Drosophila melanogaster: one gene and its partner. The protein of the gene in region 1 interacts with the protein of each later gene in a biochemical or structural test. Each region holds a gene or a part of one and is shown on either strand. Other genes may lie near its edges.

Region 1 (5,123 bases):
TTGCCACACCACACTATAAAGAGCATAAAGCGCCCACACTCCGTAAAATGCAGCAGCAACACCAGACACACACACACACACTTGAACTCTTCCTTTGAAATACTCGCAGAATATACTCACACGAGCGCGCGTTTGGTAATTTCGATTTCACACATAAAATTCCCCGTAGCTTCGGTTCGGTTCTTCTAAATTTTGTTCACTATCTTCTGCACTTCTTGGCGTTGGAGCTTGTTAGTTTTTCGCGACCAGAACTCAATGGAGCTCCCTTACGAGCAGCGCACACGACTTCACGCGGAGAGCTGAAAACGATTGCTTGGATACCAATATTTTGGTACTTTTGAGTAGAGCCGTCAAAACATCGATGCTACTATCGATAGTATCGAACCGTGCATGGCGATGATATCGAGATAGTTGTGAGCAGTGGAATCAGACTGTTGCAAGCTAATAGGCTAATCTCTCGGGGCACATCACTTGAAGACCGTTGGGATTTAAAACTTAGCAAAATAAATAAATTATTTTAAAGAATTTTTGCAATTGAAAAGACAAATTTTTTAACATTTACATATACATTTATTGGAGAATGCATATAGTTGTGTGTAAACCATACTATCAGCGGCCTATAAACATGATCAACAAAAATACATACATGTGTTAATAAGAGTACTATAACAAGAAATCCATGTGATCTGCGGTCGTGCCGGTGCATTGATACCCTTTTCAGCGCGAATTAGAGCTGCTCATCTATATAAGGTCATTTCAGCGTGCATAATGTATGGTTCAAAAGGGATGCGCTCGGACACAATGCGATAGTTAGTAACGACAACTTACAACCGTAGCTAATGTAAAAACGAATAGCTGCAGTTGGCCAAGTACTTAGTAGACGATTAGTAGACGATTATATTAGCTAATCACCGGATAATTTGAACTTCGCTGTAGTAGTTTGTGTGGGTGCAATCAATCGATTTGCTTAACTGCTAACTAGGCTGGTGAACTCTAAATGATGTCGATATGCACTTCACGAAAGGAACGTGCGCACGAATCCCTTGATGTCTGCGCGGCACATGGGACAATTGGCTACACTGGGGGCGCACTGATTGCAGGTGGCTGTCGGGTTAACAGGAAGTTAGCTACAGCTCAAGGCAATCAAGGTATAGTTCAGCGACTTACCCAAGTGGCCACAGGGCAGGAACACTACGCCAACCTCCTCGTCCAAGCATACCTTGCATAAGCGTGCATCCTTTAGCTGGCGGTTTTCCTCCTCCAGCGATAGGTTTCCGTTCGGCGTGGCCACCGACATCTTTTGTATTTCGTCTGTGATTTTCGATATATTCGCCACTGCTTCAGCTGCCTGTGGTTTGGCTGGGATGGAATCGGCCACCGGTATTGGCACAGATGCTGCCTTGCTGGTGGTGGCCTGACATGGTTCAATAAAAGGAGCACTTGGCTCCGGCGGCTCGCGCACCTCCAGTGCAGCTCCTGCGCCCGCATCGTCAAAGATGTCATGCAATAGTTCGTCCAACGTAGAGAAAGCGCAGCCGGAACTCAAGAGCTTGCGCTGGATGGCATTGCGCACAACTCCTCCATCGATACCCAAGGCTAGGGCCTCCTTGGCCGGAGCTTCATCCATCAGTACGTCTGCTTGGAGCGTTGGAGCCGGAGCAGTTGCTGGCTGGGAACTGGCGTTGGCAGCTGTTGTCGCGAGCACTTCGCTTACATAGGCTGGACCCTTGGCCAGCAAAACGAACTGACACTTTGGCGACCACTTGGCGTGTTCGAACCACGGCTCGTCCTCCTTCTGCCAGGAGCGCAATCCAATGTTGCAGTGGAAACAGCGCACCTGGTCGCCTATTTTCTGATAATATAGGCCAGCCTGCGCCAAAGCCGAAGCGGGCTGAATATTGGAAATGGGCCAATCGGTGAAGGTTCTCAATCTGGCGTCCACGCAGGCGTACTTGGGACGCAGTGGCAGAGTGGTGGGCTGGATGCCCAGCTCATCCAGGTTCTTCCCGGTGGCAAACTCTATAAGGGGGCCCATTTGCACACGAGGACATTGGGGAAAAAAGCGCTTGTGCTCTTCAAAGGCATTGTCGTTCTTCTCCCACTTGGCAATCACTCCGTTGCACCAAACACACTTCACGTGATCCAGACGGTTCAGGTAGTAGAAACCTGCCTTTGCCAGAGCCTGCGGCGTGATGTTGGGATTCTACAAAGGAAGACGTTTTGGGCTAAAGTTAAACTATCTTATTCAGTCATTAAAAATATTTGAAATTATACAGTATACAATAACTTCATTTGAAGTTCATAATGATTTTTGTATATCTTAATTAAAGCTTAATTTCGTAGGATTATCAATCAACATTCAGCTGAATTGAGGCAGCTAACAAGACATTTCTTGTTTGTATACAAAAATATCATTGATACTTTCGACCGGGATTTTCCTGGCCTCATTTACGCTACTTTTTAACTACGCAATCATACTTACATATGCACTTATAGTGAGCTTGAAACTGAAACTATAGTGATTACAATGACCCGCTATGGTGAATCACCAGAAGCGAGCGACACCAGCTCAGGGTACTCACCGGCCAGTCCTTGAAAGTTACCAAGCGATTGGCCTCCAACAAGAGATCGGGACAAGAGCAGGACTCCGGGCTGTCCACTACGCTGTTTCCCTCGTTGTCGCTCTCCTGGCTCCTGGGAACATTGCCGCAGTGATTGGGAGCCAGAACCATGGAGCAGATGGGCGAGGAGCGGCGATGGCGCTCCGCCACTTGATCGCCGTATTCCCAGCGGTCGATGCGCACGTGGCAGAAATGGCACTCGGCCTCCAGCCAGTTTCCCGTGGCAAAGAAACCATTGGCGACCAGATCCTCCGCGGAAACTGGGGCATTCAGGGGCCATTCCCCAAATGTCGCCAGGCGAACGCTCTCCAGCTCCATGCCCAGCTCCGTCATCGTGGCGCTTCTAAATTGGATCCGAATGGATCCACCAATGATGTAATGCCACCAAGGGAATCACCAGCGAGCGCAGACGAAAATGAAAATAAGGTAAGGTAAAAATATAAACTTATTGTAGCGATGTAAAAATAAGCATCGATGTTTTTCGATACATCGTCAATGTTTCATCGATGAAATACCAACTTAATGGGCACTGCTTACAAAAACAAGGTCAAGCAGTTTACCTTGCTATTCGGTATATCCAAACCTAAGAAGTTTCCAGGTATTTCACGAGTGCCATATAACAGCCAACTATTTCAACAGCTGTCCAACCAACGATATAATGAACCAAAATCTCTTGTTTGTATTTTGTACGTTATTTATTTATATCGAGTTCTTCAATCAGTAACATTATACCACTTCCACAGTGCTCTGCGCCGCGCAGGGCCAGGCGGAACTCTCCGGATTACTAAGTGCCCTCCAGTATTTCGGGCTCTTCTCAAATTTGACGGTGTATTCCCTGGGAGTTTCGCGGGGCCAGTGCCATTATAGCTTCGAAACCTTGCTGAAGGAGCGACACACATGTGCCCCGGATGACGAGCACATCATGCACCTAAACCAGCTGCCTCCGGTTCGAAAGCCACCTATTATGATGAAGTGCCTGCAGCGGGATATCGAGAATGAGACAGCATCCGAGCCGGAACTGCTGATAATGCGCAGTGCCAAGGATATAGTGAATCTGCTTAAGCCCATGGGCAATGCCACCAAGCGCCACGAGCCGGGCAACTGTGTACTTGTCCATTTCTGCACCGCATCCAGCTTGGAGTGCGCTCGTGTGGCTTCGATGGTCAACGTGCTGCCCCATTACTTTCCCACGCTACCCATCGCCTATGTGGATGCCTATGAGTTTGGTCGTTTCAATGCAGAATTCGGCATCGTTTCGCTGCCCACACTGATGCTATTCCACCAGGGCAGGCCGCTAATCAAATTCGAGCCCGGGTGGAAGGACACAAAGAGCAGCTTTGCCAGTTTCATAATGAGTCACACCAATATGAAGACTGTGAATCCGCAGGCCATTGATCCGATCATCCTCACTCGCGCAGAGATGGAGCCGCTGTCTAATAAACCCATTGTGCAGACGGATTACTATTTGGGCCTGGCTTGGGCCTTTATTCTCGTCTGCCTTGCCAACTTCCTGCGTAAGACGGCGCTCTGGAAGCAGCTGGTAGAGATGGTGCAGCGCATTTGGCGGGAATCCGAGGAGACGCAAATGGAGATGGTGGACTAGTTAGTTAATACGTTTAATTCTCTATAAGTCGCATAAGTAGAACACTGGATTTACTATTATAATGTAATTACCATTTAATTAAATTCACGTTAACATTTACTTAGGCCTTACGAATTACATGTATTTGGGGAATTGGTAATTGTTGTTTTCTATCGTTCGGAGCCTTCAAATCAATTGTGTTCATTTGCACGCTAACTGGCATCCATAATTTAAAGCTTAGTGGCTAACAAAATCTAAAAACTTGAGAATTAATCAAATAATTCAAACTTATAATTACGATTTCATATATATTCCATTACTTTCATTGAATTTTTCGATTAGGTCTGAGAGTGTGTGTTGTAATGATTTCGGCGTTGAATAGTCACATTTGTTTTAAGTAAATTTAAGCAAGTTGTTCTGTATCCTGCGTGCACATCAATAGCATCTTGAAGTTGTACATTTTTTAGTGTTGCATTCTGGTCGACTCACGCAGGATAAGACAGAACTGGTAAAGAATTGTGTTTGTTAAAAAATATTTGAATTGGTTTTCCTGCTATGGAACAGAACCCAACGCTTTGCTTCCTAGTGTTTTTGAGTGTGCGATGCGGAAGATGTTGGCATACAGATGATCACGTTTCTACTACTTCTTCTTGCCGCGCTTGACCGCCTTGTAGGAGCTGGCCGCTTCGTCCTCCGTGTGAAAATGTTTTACGGCACGTTGTTGGCGCCTCGGATTGGCGGCATAGGGATGTGGATGTATGCTGCTGGCGGAGCAGAAACAAATGTTCATTAATTAACAGAAACGATTAATTAGAATAAGGCACAATACAAAACAAAAGGTATACATAATAATCATTCGTACACAGGCCAATTCGAACGCAAGTGAAAATTTATTAACAGGAAGAGAAGGTCAAAGGGAG
Region 2 (5,175 bases), on another chromosome or scaffold:
GGTTAACTAAGTTCAGTGTTGGCTAACGTGTATCGCAGCGCTTATCGTAACGTATCGTTATCGAGCCCAGCAGTCAGCTGTTTATAACCCAAACAATCACACGTGAATTTCTTAAAAAGTAAATAAATAAAATTTTAAACGAAAACTAAAACAAAAATGTCCTCTCCCAGTGAATCCTCTTCAGCTTCTGAGCACGAGGCTAGCGATGACAACGAAACTCAGGTACAAGTAATACAACTATACAGAAATATGGTTTACTACATATGCGAGAACTTCGTTTTAGAATGCCATTCGCGAAGATCTCAAAGGAATGTCATTCGAGGAGATAATGAAACTAAAAGAGGAGCTGGGCGCCAAGGTGTACAAAGAGGCTGTGCTCGGTAGCAAGAGTTCTAGACCCCAAAAACCAAAGGCCAAAACCGACCTCAAGCGGCTAAACAAAAACCGACCTCGTGAAATGACCACCAGACGACAGGTTCCATTTTTGGGCGCCGAGCACAGAGTGGAGCGGAAAAAAAATGTTGAACTCAGAGATCCAAGATTTGACGAAAAATCCGGAACATATAGTGCAGAAACCTTCAAGAAGAACTACCAGTTTGTCTCCCAGATTCGAGCAAAGGAAGTTGGTCAGCTGAAGAAAAAACTGGACGAAGTGGAGGATGAGGCGGAGAAGCACCATATAAAGGACACCATGCAGCGACTTATCAATAAAAATGTGGAGGACAAGAAGTGGCACACCAAACAGAAGCAACTGAAAAAGGAGCGCTCCGCCATTCAGAAGAAACACGATTTGGGACAACAACCTCATTATCTGACAAAGAGTACGTTTCTGATCGACAGCGAAATCAAATTTTAATTTGTTTTTTTTTCCGACAGAGGAGCGTCGAGCTAAGGAACTAGTTGCCCAATTCGAGAAGCTGAAAAACACTGGAAAACTCAACAAGCACATGGAAAAGCGACGCAAGAAGAACGCCGCCAAGGACCGCAAACGCATTGGTATAGAATAAGACTTACGCTTTAAGTATAAATGTATTTTAAACAATTAAAAGCACAGTGCAAATAAGCAAATCTAGCCCGTGCGCAACATCTTTGCTTCCCGCTTCTCCTGCAACTCGCGCCGTTGCTGTTCCACAATTAACTTGCGCTCCTCCAGGAACTCGCCATAGGCCGCCGGATCTATTTCCCTGACCACTTTGATGCCACAGGTCCGAGCAATGCTGATGAGCATCTCACACATTTGCTAAGAGACAAGGCATAAACTTGAGTCGAAGTTATATCTCAAACTTTTCGGAATACCGACCTGCATGGTAAGAAGTACATTGGGCGGGTCCTGAATCTTAATAGCTGCAATCTCGTACAAATGCTTGAGAGTGATCATGCCGGCAACCTCCTTGCCAGGAGTCATGGTGCCCCTTTGTATGCCCGCCGCTTGCTTCAGGAAAAATGTGGCCGGCGGATGGTGGATGGCCAAGTCGTAGCTGCGATCGCTGTTTACGGAAATTCTGCACGGCAGCGGTACGCCCTCTTTCATTTCCGCGGTCTTGGCATTAAAGTCCTTGCAGAAAGCGGCGATATTAATCGCTCTCTGTGTGTGGTTAAAAACAAAATTATATACATATTTTAGTTTTAAAGCCGGCTAACTCACCTGTCCCAACATCGGTCCCAATGGCGGACCTGCAGCAGCCATTCCCGCAGGTATATTCGTCTTCAGTTTGCTCGTGTGCGTCACACGTTCCACCGTCTTCTTTAGCGATTTCAGCTTACCCGCTGCCTTCGACATTTTAATTGATTTATTTTAACTAAACAATTGATTCAAACTGTTATGCAAAGCGAAATGTGTTGGTGGAAGGAAGAAGAAGCAGCAACAGCTGATGGTATTGCTGTCGTTTCTAGTTGGAACGTATAGCTGAATAGCTAAAAACATACTTCCGAATGTGGTCTTTAGCAACATTAAACATGAGATGATGGTTTAAAAGATCCAAATGTCATTTGCACAATAGCAGGCTTTTAAAAATACTATATACAATACTATGAAAGCAGCTAAAATTTTAAAAGCCCTTTGAATTATAGCTAAATGTACAATAGCCAAATTCCCGTGATAAGCAGACGATTAGCCACCCCTGATGCGAAGAAGAAGCATCGCGGCCAACAGCTGTTTGCATTGCCTATCGCCTATCGGTAGTCGAGGGTGTCGCAGCAGGCAGCTTTTGTGGCAGAGTGCCAAATTGAAATCAGCTGCCAGCTGAGAAGTGATAAATTAAATAACAATAACAAACGCCGTGTAATCACATAAACCCATGGCTTTGCGCGGTTCCCACCGCTTGGAAGTGATCTTCAAACGCTGCATTGCCTCCCCGGTGTTACACAGTCATGCAGCCAATCGGAGGAGCAGTCAACTAGCGATCAAAGAAGGCGATCCAAACAGCAATGGTAACAGTGGGCAATATCAGCAAAATGGTGAACAAAAAGAAAAAGGCTGGAGACGATTGGTTCGATTCTTTGTGCCCTTCTCCCTGGGCGCTGTGGTCAGTGCGGCGATCATACAGCGGGAAGACTTAACGCCAACGATCGCCGCTTCCAAAATGACCGGTCGTCGGCGGGACTTCAACTTTATAGCTGATGTGGTGGCAGGTTGTGCGGATTCGGTGGTCTACATTGAGATTAAGGACACCCGCCACTTTGACTACTTCAGCGGCCAACCGATTACGGCATCGAATGGTTCCGGCTTCATTATTGAGCAGAACGGTCTCATCCTTACCAACGCCCATGTGGTGATCAACAAACCACACACAATGGTACAGGTGAGGCTATCCGATGGCAGGACTTTTCCCGCCACCATCGAGGACGTGGATCAGACATCCGATCTGGCGACTTTGCGCATACAGGTAAGCGTACAGTTGAATTTCTAAGCAGCGCAAGTTCTATATGCATATCTTTAAATCCAATCTTACAGGTGAACAATCTTTCGGTGATGCGGCTAGGCAAGAGCAGTACCCTGCGATCCGGCGAGTGGGTTGTGGCCTTAGGCAGTCCGCTGGCCCTAAGCAATACGGTGACAGCAGGCGTAATCAGTTCAACGCAGCGTGCATCTCAAGAACTTGGCCTTCGAAACAGGGATATCAACTACCTGCAAACGGATGCTGCGATTACGTTTGGCAACTCCGGCGGTCCCTTGGTCAATCTGGATGGCGAGGCTATTGGAGTTAACTCGATGAAGGTGACGGCTGGCATTAGCTTCGCAATACCCATTGACTATGTAAAGGTGTTTCTGGAGCGGGCGGCCGAGAAACGAAAGAAGGGCTCGGCCTACAAGACTGGCTATCCGGTGAAGCGGTACATGGGCATCACCATGCTGACGCTCACACCGGATATTCTGTTCGAGCTCAAGTCACGAAGCCAAAACATGCCCAGCAACTTAACGCACGGCGTGCTCGTGTGGAAGGTTATCGTTGGGTCACCGGCGCACAGGTGGGTCAATACCTAAGTGGTTAACCTATCAATCAACCAGCATTTTCCATTACAACGTGCTTTTTTGCTCTACCTCCTTTTTAGTGGTGGACTCCAACCCGGAGACATAGTGACCCACATAAACAAGAAGGAGATCAAGAACTCATCGGATGTCTACGATGCCCTGGCGGATAATAGTAAAACTCTAGATATAGTGATCCTGCGAGGTGTGAAGCAGATGCACGTGACCATTACGCCAGAAGATCCCTAGTTTAACCTGTATGCAGCACCTGTACCCAATTGTATATATTTATATATCTAAACAAAACCTACCGATCCTGGGAAGAAATCGCTGACAAACCCACCCCCCACACGCTCCTATTCCTAATCGGGTGCGCCTGCCTATATTTGTCTCTGGCTAACGAGTAGGGAAATTTGCATAGATCGCGGGCTCGTTATCAGTGGCCATTATTAACAGCGGCACGACCATAAGTTAATCTACGCATCGGACGGCACGAAAATGTATCTCCGACTGGGTCGATTGGGTCGTCTGTCCGTTTCCGAACATCATCGATTTCTCTTTCATGGAGCGCTGTGCGTGTCCCCTACCATCCGTCTGTCTGACCGTCCGTCCGTCCGTCCGTCCGTTTGTCCTCTTCCAACAACGACAAAAATATATTTACGCTAATTGAAATATCTTGCGTTGCGATCAATCGATGCCATATTTTTTATAGGCCAAACCTCGGCAGTGCAAAAAATGCAGCAGCAACATCAGACGCAAAAAACGTCGAAAAGCGAAATGCAAATTTCAATAAATTTATGCAACTGTATTCCCAGCGCTTCACTTGGCCAGCTGTTCAATACCCTCGATAGGGGTACGTTAGGTATATTTTACAAAATGAAAAATTCTATTTTTTGGGTGCTGAGAAGTTCAATGGTCGAATAGCGAACTTATTGCAAATTATTATTAATAATTATTTTATGAAACTGAACCTTTAAAATGTATTGTCTAGTTGAATCACATTGCATATTCAGACAAAAATATTCAGTCGTAGTTTATGATGTTAACCCTATTTCATCGAAACAAACATGAATGTGTAATTGAAATGAGTCTTCTCAAATCTACATGTTATGTGCATAAACAAAACAAACCTAAAATATGACCTAATAGTTGAAATGCATTAAATGGAATTTGTATCCGAAACAATCTTTGTACACATTTAAAAAAAAGGGTATTCAAACCTCACATAGCTGAGCTCAGATTGGTTTGGCTTCGGTTTATTTGTGGGTGACAAGGCAGACGTTGCCAATGATGATGTTGTTGCCGCTGCTGCTGCTGCTGTTGCTGTTGCTGTCGTTGCGTGAAAAGTGAAATTCTTGTGATTATTAATTTTGTTTTCGCTTTTGGCGATGCTACGCTTTTTTGGCTTTTGCATATAAATTCATATATTGATTCCGCCGGACTGACCATTGTTGCTGGCATTGCCGTTGTTGTTTATGTGACAGCGGCCTTTATGACATTGTTGGCACTAAGTTACCTTTATTGCTTATAAGCCGCACGCATAAATGCAGCTTAAAGTTCATAAATTTGCCAATATTCACTCGGCAAGGGGTTAAGCAAACGGACCTCGCTTTTGCGATCGTGTAAACACTTTTTACTTCATTCACTGGCGCCCCACGCTTTTTGCACTTTCTTTCTGCCATTTCAGCCGCTTGCTTGCCGGGCAT

The links. The genes of interacting proteins can lie anywhere in the genome.
Region 2: of the proteins of Diap2 (region 1) and HtrA2, one has a biochemical effect on the other in vitro, tested with the Drosophila melanogaster proteins (one study listed by BioGRID).

What each region holds. Positions count from the first base shown.
Region 1 is NT_033778.4:15,931,617-15,936,739, forward strand, and holds Diap2 (Death-associated inhibitor of apoptosis 2), read right to left. Parts: upstream 3,210-5,123; 5' UTR 3,182-3,209; intron 3,102-3,181; exon of another isoform or gene 2,965-3,101; 5' UTR 2,955-2,964; coding exon 2,583-2,954; intron 2,204-2,582; coding exon 1,168-2,203; intron 1,105-1,167; coding exon 1,016-1,104; 3' UTR 554-1,015; downstream 1-553. Other genes in the region: bug (bunker gear), read left to right, coding at 3,280-3,307, 3,365-4,224; Mlf (Myelodysplasia/myeloid leukemia factor), read right to left, coding at 4,844-4,964.
Region 2 is NT_033777.3:14,508,529-14,513,703, reverse strand, and holds HtrA2 (HTRA2-related serine protease), read left to right. Parts: upstream 1-1,991; 5' UTR 1,992-2,297; coding exon 2,298-2,885; intron 2,886-2,953; coding exon 2,954-3,468; intron 3,469-3,552; coding exon 3,553-3,718; 3' UTR 3,719-4,655; downstream 4,656-5,175. Other genes in the region: CG8461 (uncharacterized protein), read left to right, coding at 157-222, 284-821, 877-1,007; mRpL11 (mitochondrial ribosomal protein L11), read right to left, coding at 1,070-1,240, 1,301-1,585, 1,646-1,780.